Linked DNA regions of Arabidopsis thaliana. The main gene of each other region encodes a partner of the protein of the gene in region 2 in a complex. Each region holds a gene or a part of one and is shown on either strand. Other genes may lie near its edges.

Region 1 (7,233 bases), 4.2 Mb from region 2:
CGCTAGTATTCTTCCATAATGGTTTATCATTAGAAAAAAGAAATATATATTGTATGTGTATATCAGAATAAAAGTTCATGTAATAACTTTAGTCTACCAAACCTAGCTAGTTGTATTATTATTTTACAATAAGACTCACACAGCCCCACTCATTCGCAATCATAACATCGGCGGAGACTTTCGCGACCAAGCAAGCGGGAATAAGTTTCATAGCTCCAGACAACGATGGTTAACTGACTTGTGTTCTCCTCGTTGAAGATGCAAATAAGTGCGATGATGATGAGCCAAGCATTTATCCGAATCAGAGTCTTGTTAACGATATTGAGTCACGGTTTGAATGTGACCAAACCCTTGCTATGATCCCTGTCATTAGAAGCCAAAAACGTGGAAGCTAAGGGGAGGATATTCATACACGAAGTCGCAGTATTTCTTCTTGTTGTCCACCTCATCCACTTCATCTTCTCATCCATATCATATATGTCGTCGGACACCGTCCATATTGAAGATGAATGAGCAGTTGCGGCGGAACTTAGAGGTTGGAGACTATGTCGACTTTATAAGAGATCAAAGAAGCATCACAATAAAAGAGAGAGCAGAAGAGTATCGCCATGATCCCTGGGAAGCGTGGAACTGCAAGGGTGTTATATAGGCTTATAGTGTTGTAGTTGTTGATAATTACTATATTTTGATGTTTGCATTACTGTCTGTCTATATGGAGCCATGGAGGTGATATCATAATCCAAGGGAGAATTAAGAGCTAAGAGAAAAACTTATGCTATCATCTAGCTACACATGATGCATAAAATCTGTGCCTAATTCATAGTTTTGATAATATGGAAACCAAGGAATGCTTTGATATATGACAATAAGCTATGGATCATCATTCCATTGCTAAAAAAAGAGAGAAAAACAATGGAGTTGAGAACAAAAATATGAGATGCGGGAATTGAACTAATCAAGTTATAATCTACTTGTACACATAACCATGTCCCACTCACTTCTCTCAACGCACTTTTGGATGCATCTTGGAAATATGAGAACAAACCATACGAACACTAAAACTAATTGTTTCGCTTTTGTATGATCAACAAAACAGACTTGTAGTTTGGAGTTGATGTAGTCTTACTGTAATGCCGTCTCTCGGTATTGACCTATTCCGACGCAGTTTCCTCAAGAACAATATTAATGCAAAAAGCAACAATTCTAAGGCAAATACATAAGCAAGGCAAGCAAAATAAAATTGTTGTCTCTTCGAATTTCTTAGAATAACTTATGTAACAACTCCTCGTTACTTGATGTTTCATTAATTAACGGACAAAACAAAGAATGACACATGATATTTTCATAATTAATTAAACATATTACCACATCCACTTTTATGAAACCAAAAGCTTAATAAAAACATTATTTAACCTCTAACAAATTTTAATTTATTTTATAGACAAAATAGACACTTTTTTCTCTTGAAAAGTGATTCTTAGGATTCTCTCATATTTAGTCATTTTAATTTTTTGAAAAATTGAAACCTAAATATGTTTGTTTACATTTAATTTGCACTAAAAAAACAAAAATCATTTTCCGAGAGACAGAAAAAAATAAATAGTAATAATTAAAACCTGTTTACGAGGAGGAGAAAAAATAAAATAAAAGAAAATAAATAAAAGCTTAAGAAGCGTCTCATTGCTGGATATCCCGCGCAACGTTGTAACAAAAATCGTCCTCTCAGTTCCAATCTCTCTCAGATTCTCCTCCTCATCACAATTCCCCACTCCTTTGATTCTTGTCCCAGAGTCACGTCCTCTCCTATTCGGGTCTCTACAGAGTCTAACTCTGACCCGACCCGACCCAATTCACTAAATGGAGGACGAACCAAAGCTCCCAACCGATGACGGTCCAACTTTCAACGAATCGTGTAAAATCTCGTCTGAGATATTGACCGCCGGTGATCGGAAATTACTTAAAGTTGAACTCCTCAAAGAGGAGACCACGCTCGTATCGTGGAAGAAGCTTATGGATGAGGCTAGCAAAGAAAACGGCGGCTTGTTCGTTTCGGCTCCCGAACGGCTTCTTAATGCCAACCCTAACCTCGAGTTTCGCCTTGCACCGGTGAGTTCTTAGCTGCCTACATGCATATTCTCATGTATTCATTTCTCTGTCTCTGTTAGACCAATTTTTGTATTGTATCATCATTCCGGGAGCTGAATTGGGAAATTTCTCCTTGACATTGAGTTTAGAGCTAGGGTTTCAATAAACTAACTCTTGAAAATGAAACAAAACTAAAGCTGTATAGTGATTTCAATGTGGATACTGATCATTGTCTAATGATTTAGCGATATATCGAATGCAGGGGGCACAAACAGAGAATGAAATGGTGAATCAACCTCATCCTAATCGTCTTAACTCTGTTATAGCCAAGATTGAGAGACTTTATATGGTACCTTTTCTTACTACTGTTTCTATTGATTATCTGAACAAGTAAGATGAATGTTTGATTTCTTATTCGGAACATTTTTCATACCATGCATTAGCACTGGTTTTGCAACAGATTTCTGATTAGCGTATACTTCATAAAATAAATTTCAGGGTAAAGACGGTAGTGATGGGGAAGAGTTAGACGGTGCTCCTGACGATGATGACTATGACACTGAAGATTCATTTATCGATGATGCTGAATTGGTTAGTGTAGATATCCTGACTATGGCTTTCTTATGTGATCAAAGTGTATCTTGATAGCTGAGACATCCTTCTTTCTTTCTTTCTTTTTTCCCATTGTAGGATGAGTATTTTGAAGTTGATAATTCGCCAATTAAACATGATGGATTTTTTGTCAATAGAGGAAAGTTAGAACGAATGTAAGTTTTTTGTCCTCTTTTTGTTGTATGTTGTCGCATTTCTCTATGGCAGGTTTGTCAGTTTTCATTTGGTGATATGTTGTGGAGAATAGGCTATGGGCAGCATAAGTGTGTGAACATATATTTGGCATCACCGTTCTCTTCCCTCTAATTAGGTTTATGCAATGTTTACTCAGGGCAGAAATATTTGATAGAATTTTCTTGATAATATTGCTACTTCTCTGCTAACATATCTAGGTTATGGTCAAAACGCAATGAATATTTTGTATCGTTGTGGTCTCTGATTATAAATAGGATTCAGGTTTCCCTGTTTCCTTATGAGTAGGTTATCTTCCATTACCATTCTTACCAGTTTATCTAAATTGTGTTTCCTTCCTACAACAGTGAACCTTCAGCTACATCGAACCAGCAGCAACCAAAGAAAAGGCGAAGGAAGGAGTCAGCAAAACCTTGTGGCGATGTTGTTGATGTATCCAGAAAACGAGCCAAGATGGCTAAGACGGCTGGGGGAAAGGTACATTACTTGCAAATAACTTTTTGAATCTATTTTAGAGTTCCATTCCAGACAGTTGATTATTTGAATGTGAAAGTCCAGGATCAATCTGCTTCTCCTGGGCCCTCTTCGAAGAAAATTTCCAATGATTCAAAGACGGTGCAAGATTCGTTTTCCCCTTTGAAAGCGCAAAATGGCAATGATTCCTTAGTTTTGGAAAATGTGAAGCATACTGATAAAGCGAATCACCAGCCAATGAATGCCACGAGTCCGAAGTCAAAGGCAGCTGGATCTTCTGGCCCCCTTCATCCGAAGTGCAGCAGCAAAAGTGTTCATGAACAATCTAATTCCCCTCCAGGAAAATCTCGGCCAAATGTTTCGGCAAAATCAGCAGTAGTTCGTCAGCAAGTTAACAATGGCATGCCTGACCTGGACATTGCAACGGAAAGCAAAACATCTATTCAAATATCTGTAAGTACTTTCCAGCTATCTTAAGTTTATTAGATTCCTCATTTTAGTTAGTTTGGAATTTGAAGTAAGCATGTATTTGGGGCTTTCATCTTCTACATCCAAGAGTGATGCTTCTCTAATCTTTGAGACTGTAGAAATGATCTGTAATTGTAAAGATATTAGCATTTAATTAGGAGAGTTCACGCATTAGATGGCTTCTATCTGTAATTAGTTTTCATCTCGACTCTGGGTTGATCTTTCTGGCTAATATTTGCTTCCATGCTTTACTCTTGCATATCTTACAATCTGTACTCAATTTTTTATTTTTGGAATGGAGCCCCCATGGTATTTACATTAGATTGCTCTTTACCTTTCTCTATTTAGAAAAAAAGCGGTTCAAATGGCCGGCCTAAATACTCGACACTTGAGAAAGCCATCAGGAATTTGGAGAAGTTGGTCGCTGAATGTGAGTTTCAACTGTTTCGTTGTTCTCTACATGCATGAGAAGCTAAATACCATTTAGTAAACTATCATATCCAATTTATTGCAGCAAGGCCTCCTGCTGCCACTGAGAATCAAGATGCCGATATCTCTTCCCAAGCAGTGAAGAGGGGATTGCCAGGAGATGTAAAATTGCATCTTGCTAAAGTTGCTAGAATCGCGGTAATCAAACTCTTCTGTTTCTAAATATGTATATAAATTTTAATAATCTTTCAGATGTATGAAGAAGAGTAGCAATTTTCTTTTCTTGAAGTATGCGAGCCAAGGTGAAATATCAGGAGAGTTAATCAATCGTCTCATGGGCATTGTCGGTCATCTAATACAGATTAGATCACTTAAGGTATTCATCTCTATCTCCTGCATACCGAGACTTGTTATCGTAATGGAGTTGTGATTCTTACTGAGGCATTAAAGTATTTAGATTTTTTCGATTTAAGGTGAAAGCTCTTCCATTCCAGAAAGAGCTAACAAGATCTGTATTTGTTAGTGAAGGAGTTCAAGCTCTTACGGTTTAGTAATTGTTATTGTACAGAGGAACTTGAAAATCATGATTGATTCGATCGTCACTGCAAATCGAGAAAAAGATACTAGATTTCAGCGGATCAAGAGTGAAATAACTGAGATGTTAAAAACACAAGTTCCACTTGTGGAATCCCAGGTTCTCTCCCTTCTACTCTACTAGTTTCTCTGATCTGATTTTCAAAAGTATTTCGTATCTGCTATGTTGCATAGATACTTTTGTTCTTGTCTTTATTGTTGGATTTAAACATCTTCTTTCGATGATGCACGAAACTCAGAGTTCTCTCTGATTATGATTGGCCTTGGATAAGCACTTATATCTCCCTTTTATTGAGACATTGATAAACATCTGATATTTTGAAATATTCCTTGCGCTGACATAAATTGTTTCACAGGAAACAAATCAAGAAGCTGGAACATCAGACGATTTTCAGGATGTTGGATCTCTTGGAAAGTCACCTGTGAAGAAGTTTGTCATGGATGTGGCGCTGGAGGAAAAATTGTGTGATCTATATGACGTGTTTGTTGAGGTAATTAATATTTTCCATAACCTTACATAAAAAGGTGTTCCAACTTGTTAGATGCAGAATTGTAAGTGTCAACATAGTTTTTGCTCTGTTTTTGGTAATACTAGGGAATGGATGAACATTCAGGTTCACAAATCAGAAAGCTTTATTCAGATGTAAGTTCCTCTCCAACCTTTATATTTTGCCATTCTTTGTCTATTTGCTTTCCAGATCCATTCAAAAACATTAGACTAGACCTTGCCTAATATTCAAGATTGTTTACCAAACCTTCCTGATTGATTTTCTTTTGGATTTATTCTTGCTCCAGCTAGCTCAACTGTGGCCCAATAGTTTAGTTGACAATCATGAGATCAGGCGTGCCATTTGCCGGGAAAAGGAAAGGCGGAGAGCATTGGAAGGAAACATTGGGAAGGAGATGGTATTTGAGAAATTCTTAACTTTTTTACGCCATAGCTGTTTGTTTGCTTCTAACGTGCTAACTTTTGGATGTGATAAATATCCATTTGTCATCGAATATTATCATGAACTCGCACATTTCGCTCATGTTTATCATTCCTCAACTTTTATTTTATTTTAGGATCAAACGAAGATAACAAAGAAGAAACAGACACAATTGGTCCCTAAATCTGAGGGTATTACTTATCCCGACAAGACTTCAGGTGTTGAAGTTAAAGCAAGTGTTGTCCTAACTGCAACCACCACGTCCTTAGTGGACTGTCAACCTGCAGCAGACTCGTCCTTTGAAAGGTCAAAGCAGCAACATGAGAAATTAAAGCGAACTTCGAGCTTAAGCAATCCTGCAGCAGAAGGAAAGAAAGTCAGAAGAAAGACAGAACCAGCTCTAGAAGAAACTCACCTGCCCGCAGAGAAACCCCTCGTTCTGGCCCTGAAGCGGCAGACACATCTAAAATCCAAGACACATAAACAGGTACAGGTACATCCACAGTCCAAGGCACATAAACAGGCACAGGTACATCCAAAGGCCAAGACACAGACTCCTCCAGACCTGAACCTGCCAAGTTAGGTACTACAGCTTAGATTTTTTTTCTCAAAGTCTGGCTCTAGCCTTGCCTTTGTTTTTCGTAGCTATAGTTTCGCTTCTAATTTTTGCGCCTAGTATTGATTTTCTAGTCGTTTCTTACGTAGAAGACGAAGTCCCTCTCCTCGTTACAAATTAAAGATGTTAAGAGAAGCTCCAATTCTTTCAATCTGTTTTTTTTGACGGAATAAACCAACACATGTAGCCTATTTCTAAATGGGTCTAAATTTGTCGGCGGCCCAATAAGGGGTCATAATAAAAGAATAAAAAGCCTTAAAAAGGAATTAGTATGTATCTGAAATCAAGCTCACTGGACTGGACGACCAAAAAAAAAGCGCACCGAAAATTCCCGCGTTCTCTTCTTACCAGTTACCACGCCGAATCACTGACCTCAAATCCAGAGCTTGACGAATCTCGTGCTATGCGAATGCTACTAGGTTCTAATATCCATCTTCTTCCGACGATTCTAGGGTTTCAATTTTCTCCGATAACCCCGTGAAGCTCTTACAAAGTCGAGAAGTGCGTGGTTAGGTTTTCCGGCGGCGATGAAGACGACGCAACTGTTCAAAGGGGCAAATGTTTTTATGTCTCGGAATCTGGTGCCTCCTGAAGTCTTCGACACACTTCTCGATGCTTTCAAGCTTAACGGTGCCGAAATCTTCCTCTGCTGCGACCCATCTCGGAGTGGTCCCTCTGATTTCCATGTCATCGCTTCTCCCGATCATGTGCGAAATGTTCTTTCTTATATATCCCTGCAATTGCTTATTTCGTTATATAATCTGCTCTTATTGCCATTTTTTTGGGGTTTTACAGGAGAAATTTAAGGATCTTAAAGCCAAGGGTTGTAACTTA
Region 2 (4,111 bases):
TAGAAAATAATACACAATATAAATATCAAAGTAGCTATTTTTTACAAATTTACCATTTACCTAAAAAAAATATAAAATAATTTTACGAAATCCAAAATAATAGGTAATATAATTCTTATTCGTTATTGTCAAGTATAGGAATATATTATGTATTATTAGGTATTTAAAAACAACAATCTGTTTATTATAAAATATCGTATTTATTCAAAACATATAGGGCTTACTGGGCTTAGCCGAACACGGCTTTTATAATGTTATTGAGTTTAGTAATTAGATCTGTATTAATAAAAGTTTGAATAAAATATTTTTTAATATTTTAAAAGATATTTTCTTTTAACAAAACAAACATTTTTTTTTTTTCAAAGTAATCGAAATGGAGCCGTTTTTAACTATCTTTCGGTTTACCACAGAGTAAAATCGTTAGGCGAGAAATTGTAATGTGTACTACTTTTTTTTTTTTTTTTTTTTTGGTGAATAAATGCGGACTCATATTTTTGGCAGAACAACTGTGAAACGGTCCTAAAAAAATCACGGACTCATGTTTTTTTGGTGAAAGAATTATGGTTGATGATGATGATAATCATCATCATCAATGCTAACTATGACCATTTAACGGCACTTTTTTCAACAAATGATGAAGATCAAATGTCGCTTTGTACCTTGAGAAAATCTAGGGAAGTTATTCTACACCTATTACCAAATTCCAACCATCAGAACTCAGAATCTTGTTTGGCAACTGTTGGCTTTGCTTCGATTTAAAAAACCTTTGCCCAAAACATAAACATACAAAAATGTCAAGAATCACTTCCCTAAAGCCTCTAGAATTAAGTACAACAAACAGCATATAATGCTTTTGAAAGACAGAAAAGCAAAGCGCAACATCTGTGGAGACAATAGTTCTCAATTCTCATCCACTTTTCTTCAACTAGACTTGGTATAAGGATCATGATTCCTCAGGTTTTGGTTCTACTGACTGATCAGGTAAAACCTGAGCTTCACCATTGACATTAGGTTGTTGTTCATCAGATTGTTCAGGAGGAGCGGCAGTAGCAGCAGTCTGCTCTTCTTCTGGATGAAAATCTATAGGAAATTTAGTAACTCTAGGTTTGTCGGAAAGTATGTTCCTCTGAACTTTATCAATCAAAACCTTAGTTGGAGGCTCTTCCTTGAGTTGCTCATCCTCATAATCATTGTTCACGTAATATCCAACTCTCAAGAACTCTTGACCCATGTAAGAACATGTCAACAATAGCACAGTAACACCGATGATGTCTTCCTCCTGAATCTTTGATGGATCCGGAGGATCAGCCTGTAACAGTAGTAATAGAGAGTTAGACCAAGACTTTGTTGGTGCTTGGAAGAGGTAGTAGTGCATATGTTACCTGAAATACAAAGCGGTAGTTGCCAACATTAACAGGCCCTACAAGCACACTCTCTAGAAGTTGATCATAAGTCTCATCTTCTGCTGAGCCTACATAGATAAGCTTCCATTCCAAATCTGTACCACAAGCAAAAGCACGGGTCTATCTAAGTTATCCTCACCCTATAACAATGTTAACCAAGAACTTGTGCATAGATAAATCCAACTAATAGACAACAAGACTCTAGATTATCAATTAGAAAACAAACCATTAGAGCATGACTCTGACAAAGCAATTAGGTAACAATATGTTCCAATTACAATCAGCAGCAACAAATTGGTGTTGAAAACAATCCATAAGAATCAGCAGAGACTAAAACCTAAATAAAGTCGAGATGAATTACAATTCAGGGGAAGGAGAAAGAGGAGATTTTTACCGTCTTTGAGAGAATTCAAACACTCGTAAGAAATCTCGAACTGAAAAGGGCTAACAAAAGGAGCAGGATTATGCAATACAGCGACGTTGGTGATTTTGATTGCACTCATTATCTCTAATCAACAACCAAGTCGGAGAAAAACCCTAGGTTTCAATAAACTTCATCCAAACTCGGGAGAGAGAGAGACCCAGATGAAAAAGTTTCTCCCTTTTCAAAAAATTCGAAAGCAGATAATTCAAGAGAAGAGAGAAGAAGGAAGAGCTAGGGTTTTTTTTCCCCAGGAGAGAATTAATCAAAGAAGAAGCTTCAGAGTTTTTTTTTTTTTTTTTTTTTGATTAAGAAGACGATGAAAATGTTTTCAATTTTGGGGATGGCTTTCTTATAACCGGTTGTCGTTGGAATGGTGACCGGCTACTACCGGTTAAGTTGAATTGGCGGGAGGAATACTTTAACTCACGAAATGCAGCAGGGAAATTTGCTAAATATTTGATAATTTTAGTGTCCAACACATAAATACGAAAAAAATATAGAATTCAATCGATTAGTGACACAAATAAGAGATTACCAATCATATCCTATATACTTTTTTTTTTTTCTATCTTTCAATATTTTGTTACCAGTGTTACCATTTGTGTTTACGACATCAAAAAAGAAAAAGTGACGCACATAGATAATATATACAGATGGGTTAAATATTCACATAGTTCTAGGTAGAAATATTTACACATTCTACCTACAGATTAAAAACCACAAAAAATATTTTGTGAGTTAGGTTCCTATTTAAACACCCTTGCAACTTTGCAAGTGCTTGATAGCAAAAAAAAAAAAAAAAAAAAAAGTCTAAACGAACCAAAAGCAGATAGGAAGCGTGTTAATGTTGAGAAGTGATGTTCATTTTTCTGGTTTGAGCATGAAACATCTCTGCGATATCTGTAGCCGTACTACATTCTTCAGGATTTCTATCTGTCACTTTACTGATAAATCTCGGAAACCTAACAGAGATGCCTCGCGATGGATGGACGAGACCTAAACTGGCACTGTGAACAGGCGAGACTGTGAAATCAGCACCTCTGATTTCCCAAACTACCTCTGCGGAAAACCACATGTCAGGTGTCTCCCCTGTTCTGTAGTAAGGCGGCTTTTTCGCAAGGATCTTATCCTCCGAGTAGAATTCTTTCATCTGCAAGATAAGCAAAATAAGAAAGTAGAATCAAGCTTGAAATGGTTCTCACGTGACAATTAGGAGTCCAAGTATAGACCAAACCCAACGTATTTACTACCCCATCTGTTTCATCATTAAACAACAACGTTAGAGTTGAGCTTTTCATTACCTCGATGTAAAAGGCATCAGAAAAACCAGACATGACACGGCAGACACTCTGGAATTCTTCAGTCTCAGGGTTGAAGCAGGCCATAAGGAATGGACTATACCTACACACAAAATATATAAAAAACATCAGAATTCATCAAGATGCATTTGAGAAATTACCAGTAAACTTATGATTACAATTCTGCTTTTCAGAAAAAAAAAAAGAGAAAGTTGGAAAATATGTTTTTACTACCATCCTGCTTTTCTCCCATTGCCATACCAAGCACCAATAGGAACTAAATCCAATGTATCGCCCAATCCATCTACATAATCTCGCTTAACCTGAGCCAGAAAAGAAAAGCATTATTTAATCCATTTCCATCACATTATGTTTTAGTAAGATAATTTACAGCAAAGAGACCTTGAGCCATGAATCAGAGCGCTTTGTGGGGCAGTATCCAGCATTTACATCTAAAGACTTGACCATGATTCCTTCACAAGATGACTGAAATGCTTCTTCAAGAAAAGCATTTATCCTACTCAATGTGTCATGATTATTCAGAGACGCTTCTTCTGCTCCCACCTATAAAAATCAAACAATGATCAGTTCAATGAAAATACCAAAACACTTAGATACAGAAGAAGGCTATAGCCTATAACTTCTAGGTGAGAAACTACCGTAGCACTTACAGTTATTTCCTTAGCATACTCAAGATAACCTGGCCTAGTCTCAGGGAAGACCTCCTTTAGACCTGTAAGTTCAAGCAAAACCAAGTAAGATAAGAGTGGACATATATGAACCTGGTAGAGAAAATGAATGCATCAAGTTAAGGAAAAAAGAAAATGATGGGAATCACGTCTTCGTCTCTCACGGAGGGGAAGAGCCAACAGCCTGCATTGATACGCTAAGTAAATTACAACTCAACATATAAGTATTTGGATATATGCAAATGAAAATATAAATAGTGAGTAAAAGACTCATACTGTTCTCCATTGACAAACATA
Region 3 (7,366 bases), about 17 Mb from region 2:
GGAGCCGTTCATGTTTCTTGCGATCATCAAGAAGTAATCGGGATCTGATGTCAGCAATGACGCCATCGTTTGAAGCTTTCTTTGGTCTAACTTCGAGATCATCTCTTCAAACGGAGCCGCAACATGATCTTCGTTATTAGTCATTACGGACATCCATTGCAATTTGCAAACGCATCTCCAGTTCTTGAGGAGTTAATGCGGCCAAGAATGAGTAATTAGTTAAAGGCGACGGAGATGGTGTGAATCTCGGAGGAGGAAACGCGACGGAGATGCAACGTGGATGAGGAAGAGCAACCGCCGGATACTCTTCTGAGATGGGTTCTCTTGCGGCGGCAAAACGGAGCTGGTGTGCCATCGTAAATTGTGGAGAATGAGAGAGTGTTGAGAATCTGTGAAATAATGAGCCATATTTATACTGTTTTACAAGTAATAATAATATTAATTAAAATTGATTATTCATATTGTGTCAAAAGGATTAATGTAGTCATTTTGATGTATTTCATCAATTTTACATTATCGTCCGAAATCAAATTTTCAACTACGTTACCCAAAATTCAGTACTAAAACCTGCTCTGTTTTTTTTACTCAAAAGTAAAGAGTTGCCCGTAAAATCATAACTTTATACATTAGAGTTTTGAAAAAGGACACGTAAATAGAGTAACTAACTTAATAAGAGCCAAACTGGAATACAGACAACTTTATAAACCATGCTTTGTAGCTAAAAAAACCAAGCATCGGCATCGCCAGGACTAATGCCGTGCCACCTCAAAATACAAGGAAGGAAGAGGCCAGAGGTTATTGTCTCCGGCGTTTCTAAGAGCTCCTTTGTCAATCGTGATGTCAACTTGGCAAGTTCAGGTCCGGGGTTGTTCGTGGGATGTTCAGATTCTGAGGAGCTGGGATTACACGTGTCTGTGGATGTTCGGGCTTCTTCAGGGCAAGAACGACTTGTTTCTCAGCCATTACAGCCTCGTTCTTTCTCTTGACCACTCTTGTTTCCTCTGTAGGATTGCAAGAGCTTGAGATTCCCTTTAGCTTCTCAGGCTGCTGCTGATTTGATCTGTCAACCATAGTTTGACTAGTGACCACGGAAGTGCTGGTTGCATTTGGATCAACAATCAATTTTTTTTCCCCACTGTGTTGTCTCTGAACCACTAATTCGGTGTTGGGCTGAGCAGTACAGTCTGTTCTTGGTACCAACTGCTTCATACTCTTCTTCATCTTTGTTTGATCCTTTAACAAAGCAGAATCTAATCAAGCAAAGCAAATTGCGAAAATTTTAATGCAAAGAGGTAAAGGGCTGAGAAAATTCTTTAACTACCATCTCTTTCGCAAGGTTTCCATACAATGCTTTTCGTCTCTCCTTTGCCCGGAAAATTGCATGTTTGATCCCACGATAATCCATCAATCTATTTGGCCAGAGTTCAGCCAACTGGAGCATGAATAATTCCAAAACAATATTCATCAAGCTCTAACAAACCACCTTGAGCTTTTGGCTAGGTCTAATTGGTGATTTAAGACATGAGATAAGCTTGGAACAAAAAAAACCAGAATACCAAAAATAATCGGGAATGGAGAAGGGCTTACATTGACATATAGCTTTTTTGTTTGTGGACCTTGATCTTCATCCAATCCCTAATATACCAAAAAACAGGAACAAAACCGTTTTGACTCTAATTCTATGTCTAGAATTGGCATGGCAGATTATAAAGGTAAATGATAATTACGTCGATAAATATGTCATATAGGTCACACAATTTATCCTCCAATGCCGCATCCATGACAAACTTCTTCAAAGATGGCTTTTCTACTGAGTCCTGAAAATCGTCTGATGTTGCACCTTCTGGTTTGATTGCCTATGGAACATAAAATGATAGTGCAAGAAATATCATAAATGTCACAGGTGCCTCAACATATTAATAGGAGGAAAATACGCTACAAAGGCAGATTGACCCACAGGGAACATCGAAAACAAAAGAATGAAGAGCTTGATCTACGGAAAACCATTATCAGAGAGAACTCCAGATTTCATAAAAGTTAATGACACTTCCAAGAATGTAATAAGATAGAAAAGCCATGGATGAAAGAAATGCCTATCAAGCAACTTAAGATTAGAACAGAGAGAGAGAGAGAGAACCTGTGATTCCATCAAAGAAACTTTGGCCTTTATCATATCAAGAACTTCATTGTTGATTTGCTTGAACCTAGTATCCTTTTCTCGGGTTGCAGAATCTCCCATATCAATCATGATTTTCAAGTTCCTCTGCAAAATAAGCATTACAAAGAGTAAGAAACCATATTTTGTTTGCTTGTACCTGAAACAGAAGAGTTTTTCACTGGAACATGAATGTCCTGAAGAAGACTAACTATTTAAACACCTTGACGAAAGTCCTAACAAGTCTGCTTTAGTAACAGAAAGACTAGGATACAGGAGACAGAAAATTTTACCTTAAGAGACCTAAGCTGGATTAGGTGACCAACAATGCTCATAAGACGGTTGATTAACTCTGTTGAATGTTTTCCCTGGCTTGCCTGCTGCCACAAAAGGCATATTAGTTTTTTCTCATACCGTTTCAAGTTTCAAAAAAATGAGAAGAACAAATGGAAAAGCTCTAGTACCGCAATCCTAGCAACTTTAGCAAGTTTCAATTTAACATCCCTGGGCAATCTTCTCTTCACTGCCTGGGATGAGGTATCAGCTTCTTGATTTTCAGTGATAGCAGGAGGCCTTGCTGCTTATAAATCATAAATTCTTGTAAGTTGAAAATCACCAAATGCTATTCTAGTTGGTCACACTTGAAAAATATTAAAACTCACATTCCACAACCACCTTCTCCAGTTCCCTTATGGCTTTCTCGAGGATTGAGGTTTTAGACTTCACATTAGAACCATCTTTTTTCTGAGTAGAGACAGGTTATTGCAGAATTATAAAGCAAGACTGATGTAAACTTTGTGGTAAGAAAAATGCATGGAAGCAAAGATTGACCAGAAAAATATCACAGAACCGAGATGAAAACTGGAGAAACAAAACTACGACCTTAGAATGCAACCAACTTACTGAGTGTATTTTATGTAATTGTAGACACAGTTGGAATGTACTTACAGACGCTTGACTAGATTGTCTGCTTCCCGTTACATTTGCCAGCTGATGCATACCATTGTTTTCTTTCTGACGGACTACTGTTACCTCTGCAAAGACATTGGGGGGAGATTTTCCTAGCAGGGACGTAGATTGTTGGTGTAAGCTTTTGTTGCTGTATTTCTGATGAAGGGCACTAGAGGATCCAGTTTCCCTTGACTTGTGACTTGTATCATTCCTAGACTGATGATTTGCTCTATCAGAATGCTTCACATCATCCAGAGGTACTGAAGTATTTGCATCTTGCGCTCCAGAAGGCAAAGGTGACTCCTGTGTTTTCCAGGACCCAGGAGCAGTTGATTGATCCTGGACTTCCCCATTCGTATAATCAGTTATCAGACTCAAACTCCGACATAAATTAGTATGATTTGCAATAAAAGATGTTACCTTTTTCCTAGCTGTTATAGACAACTTGGTGTGTTTATCGGATACGTCAACTGCATCACGACAGGGTTTTGCTGAATCTTTTCGTCGCCGTTTTTTGGGTTGCTGGTTAGATGTTGTTGAAGGTTCCCTATTGTGAAAATGAATCAGGGATTAGATAACTTGTAAATGAAATATAGCATGATTAGGCAAAATGAGAAAAACTCTATCCTATCGAAAGTGCAAAACCTACATCTATATGAACGTTTTTTAACCAGAAAAGTTGAAAAATGGACTTTACCCATACCAAACACCCTACAGACATTAGTTAAGGCAGTAGTAGCAAGACTGCCAACCATATTTTACCATTTGGAGAGACTACACATATCCAAATAGGAAGAAAAACTGAAAAGCAAGGTGATTTCATATGTTTATTTCAAAAACTTACGACATGCCTATTCTAAACATGATCTGAGTGATTGAAAAGTGACAAAGCCACCAAAGAGTTAAGAGACATCAGATAATGAAAAGAGGAAGATAACTCACATCCGCTCCAACTTGCCTCTATTTACATAAAATCCATCATGTTTAACTGTTGAATTATCAACTTCGAAATACTCATCCTGCAAGGAGTAGAGTAAAACAGAGATATGATTTCTCAGCTATCAAAAATATTTGAAAGATATCAACACCAACCAGTTCAGCATCATCTATAAATGAATCTTCAGTGTCATACTCATCATCATCAGGAGCACCGTCTAACTCTTCCCCATCACTGCTATCGTTCCCCTGAGATTTATTCTCTGAAGTAAGCATACACTTTTCAGAGATGTGTGAATGCAACAGTGCTATTGCATGGTATGCAAAAATGTTGTGAATGTGAAAAATCAAACATATAACAACCTACCAAGAAAAGTGTTTTAACAAAGAGTAGCATACCTTATAGAGCCTCTCTATCTTCTCAATAACAGCGTTGAAACGGTTAGAATGAGGTTGTTCATTCGTTTCAATCTCTACTGGATGCCCCTACATTATATACGAAAATACAGCTGTTGAAAATGATTTTAACCACCCATATTGTATGCATAAGAAGAATATATTGTGAGGAAGCTGCAAGCATATTATACCATCTTAAATGAAGATCCACTATTATATGCTTCATTCTCTTGCACTAATAGATATTAATAAAACTTTCTCTATATTCTTCACTATTACAGCTATAGTTTCCATTGCAACTATGTGAACCAAATTCCTTTCCAGATCAAGTATAATTGATGGCATATTCACATTGATAACGATGAAGTTAGCCTAATGTAGCTAGCAATTAGAAATGAAGCCAAAGATCATATATCAGGTTGTAGACTTTCTCCGTTTAAGGAGTTTGCTTATTGAACTCTAGTCACAGACGTCAGAGAGCAATAACAACAGAATTCCTCCTATACCATATCGATTTCAAGCATTTTCCCCAACAAATAAATCTGAAAATCTGCGAATTTAGTAAAGCTCCTTTATAAACCCTAACAAAGATTACAACTCCCCGAAACAAGACAAATGCTTACTCCAATAACAGCAAACGAAACCCACAAATGCCTACAAGTATATATATCCGATTACCAATTCCTACAACATCAAACTCACCGGTGCAATTCGAAACTCAAGGTTAGGGTTAGCATTAGGAGGCGGGTCGGGAACCGAAGCCGATAAACCATTGACCTTACCAGCATCCCTCATAAGCTTCTTCCACGAAACATACGTCGTATCCCCTGGCCGAAGCTCCACCTTGAGTAATTTCCGATCACCGGCCGTTAAAACCTTCGGCGACGCTCTCAACAATTCGCCGCCAATAGAACCACCACTCATCTCATTAACTTCCGACATTAATAATTCGGGTCGGGTCGGGTCGGATCAGTTTGATCCACTATATACTAACCCCTGGGTTCGAGACGGATTGATCTAAACAGCAATCAAGAGAGTGGAATCGATGAATCGATGTAGAGAAACTGAAACTGAGAAGAAAAAGTTGCGCGGGATACCAAAAATGACGCTCTTAATTATTTCCTAATTTATTTTTGTTGTTTTATTCACTAAAAAGGATTATTATTATATTATATAGTTTTTCTTTTTTTTTTAATTGTATTTTTCCTCGAAATATCTAATCCACAGATAGATAGAACACTCTGTGAGCTTTATCCGCTTCCAATGGCGTCTTCCGCCGCTTCTCCTTCCTTATCTCTACTCTCATTCACCTCGAAGCCACCTTATCCCTCCGGCTCTCAGCGGCTATTTGCGTCATTCAGAACGGACGGTCTTTTCGCGCCTTTAACACTGAAATCCCGACGCGGCCGTGGTATAGTCGTTAAAGTAGATGACGTCGATGCTGATGGAGGTGGAGCGGACGAGTATGATATGGATGATGAGGAGGTAGAGGAAGTTGACAACAAGAAGGACTATGATGTCGAGTATGACCCCTTGGCCGCCGCGATAGCCGCTGCAGGCGGTGGTGGTGATGGAGATATCGCTTTTGTTCAGAGTAAGAGTTTTATATCGACACAAGGATGGGATTCGGATATGGTGGTTGATTATCGGATAAACGAAGATGAGTTTCATAAACTCAGCTTAATGGACTGTGATTTCTTTATCAGAAAACCTCCTGATCCAGATAATGATGTTTATGATTTCAGAGAGGTGTGTGAATTCCCAGTGACTCTAATTGCTCATTTCTTCGATTTCTCTAGAGTCTGTGCTCATTCTTCAATTGTAAATTGTTTTGTGTGGGTGGCTGCAGATGTATGTTACTCCTCCGGATACAGATATTTACTCAATTCCGAGAGTTCTTGCACCGATGCCTCAAAAGGTCAGTCATTTATCCTTATCGGTTGCTGTTTTTGTAATGCCTATGCGTTGTTCTGAGACTTCCTTTTGTTCAGCAAGATAATTGCTTTTCATATTGTGCTTAATTGCTAATTGAACCCATATACCTCCACTCTACCTAGTAATTGTATCACTTAAGAAATCTTATCTGCACAGAGCTCTACCTAGTAATTGTATAACCCATATACCTTCACTCTACCTAGTAATTGTATAACTTAAGAAATCTTATCTACACAGAGCTGTACACGTTTGGTATTGTTTGGAACTTCTACTCACACTGATAGACTGGAATTTTGAACATATAATCTCAAAAAGTGCCGTAAATGGTCAGCATTTAGTATGATTAGAGAGTCAGAATGTAGCAGCTGGGTGTTTGTTTAGTCACTTTCCTTTCATTCTGTGGCCAGTTTTGTACTCTTTGCTGCTTCATGATTGCGTATGTTTTACATTGTAAGGTTTATTTATAAGCAAGTTGTTACAATGAGTGAGTGGTGCTAACAAGGGCTTGTTTAATGATGTTACAAGTACAGTATATTCGATGTGCAATGAGTGACTATGGATGTTACAATGTCACTGAACCACCTATTGATGCCCCCAGAGATCCACTGTACAAATCTGAGAGGGAGATATCCAAGGTACATATTGGACCATGTACATTGATGTTAAATCCATTAGGTCTTTGATGCAGGGAGTCTTGAGCAACATGTATTAACAAGGATGTACTTAGTTTTGATTTGACAACATTTTTGGAAACCACACCAGGAAATATGTTTTTTAAGCATTAAGGATGAGATCAACACGAAACTACTTAGTTTAGTAGTTACAGTTTCTGATACAAATTGTCTTCATCGTGTTTATTTTTTATGCAGGTTTTCTTGACAAAACATTACCGGAACAGAAGGACAAACGATCCAGAATTTGTGCTAGATCTTGAAGAGATATATGTTATTGATTCCAAGACAAAGTCAATCACCAGAGCCAGAGTTCTGGTAT

What was found.
Region 1: SGA2 (region 2) and AT1G77310 share a complex: the UniProt entries of both Arabidopsis thaliana proteins name them as parts of the HIRA complex.
Region 3: SGA2 (region 2) and AT1G21610 share a complex: the UniProt entries of both Arabidopsis thaliana proteins name them as parts of the HIRA complex.

The regions. Positions count from the first base shown.
Region 1 is NC_003070.9:29,049,814-29,057,046, forward strand, and holds AT1G77310 (wound-responsive family protein), read left to right. Parts: upstream 1-1,684; 5' UTR 1,685-1,857; coding exon 1,858-2,106; intron 2,107-2,347; coding exon 2,348-2,434; intron 2,435-2,583; coding exon 2,584-2,676; intron 2,677-2,775; coding exon 2,776-2,852; intron 2,853-3,236; coding exon 3,237-3,366; intron 3,367-3,447; coding exon 3,448-3,816; intron 3,817-4,179; coding exon 4,180-4,261; intron 4,262-4,345; coding exon 4,346-4,458; intron 4,459-4,549; coding exon 4,550-4,636; intron 4,637-4,828; coding exon 4,829-4,954; intron 4,955-5,210; coding exon 5,211-5,345; intron 5,346-5,449; coding exon 5,450-5,497; intron 5,498-5,649; coding exon 5,650-5,760; intron 5,761-5,919; coding exon 5,920-6,366; 3' UTR 6,367-6,618; downstream 6,619-7,233. Other genes in the region: MEI1 (transcription coactivator), read left to right, coding at 6,927-7,106, 7,195-7,233. UniProt on the Arabidopsis thaliana protein: May be required for replication-independent chromatin assembly.
Region 2 is NC_003070.9:24,890,381-24,894,491, reverse strand, and holds SGA2 (ASF1 like histone chaperone), read right to left. Parts: upstream 2,153-4,111; 5' UTR 1,907-2,152; coding exon 1,798-1,906; intron 1,499-1,797; coding exon 1,383-1,498; intron 1,310-1,382; coding exon 944-1,309; 3' UTR 616-943; downstream 1-615. Other genes in the region: LIG6 (DNA LIGASE 6), read right to left, coding at 2,669-2,977, 3,129-3,228, 3,360-3,448, 3,528-3,689, 3,797-3,858, 3,964-3,998, 4,091-4,111. UniProt on the Arabidopsis thaliana protein: Histone chaperone that facilitates histone deposition and histone exchange and removal during nucleosome assembly and disassembly.
Region 3 is NC_003070.9:7,572,118-7,579,483, reverse strand, and holds AT1G21610 (wound-responsive family protein), read right to left. Parts: upstream 5,541-7,366; 5' UTR 5,381-5,540; coding exon 5,141-5,380; intron 4,529-5,140; coding exon 4,442-4,528; intron 4,292-4,441; coding exon 4,199-4,291; intron 4,126-4,198; coding exon 4,049-4,125; intron 3,654-4,048; coding exon 3,527-3,653; intron 3,446-3,526; coding exon 3,104-3,445; intron 2,900-3,103; coding exon 2,818-2,899; intron 2,733-2,817; coding exon 2,620-2,732; intron 2,536-2,619; coding exon 2,449-2,535; intron 2,264-2,448; coding exon 2,138-2,263; coding exon of another isoform or gene 1,994-2,137; exon of another isoform or gene 1,857-1,993; coding exon 1,728-1,856; coding exon of another isoform or gene 1,686-1,727; exon of another isoform or gene 1,636-1,685; coding exon 1,588-1,635; exon of another isoform or gene 1,433-1,587; coding exon 1,319-1,432; intron 1,234-1,318; coding exon 841-1,233; 3' UTR 528-840; downstream 1-527. Other genes in the region: PUM20 (pumilio 20), read right to left, coding at 1-104, 148-355; PTAC6 (plastid transcriptionally active 6), read left to right, coding at 5,702-6,187, 6,288-6,356, 6,904-7,008, 7,243-7,362. UniProt on the Arabidopsis thaliana protein: May be required for replication-independent chromatin assembly.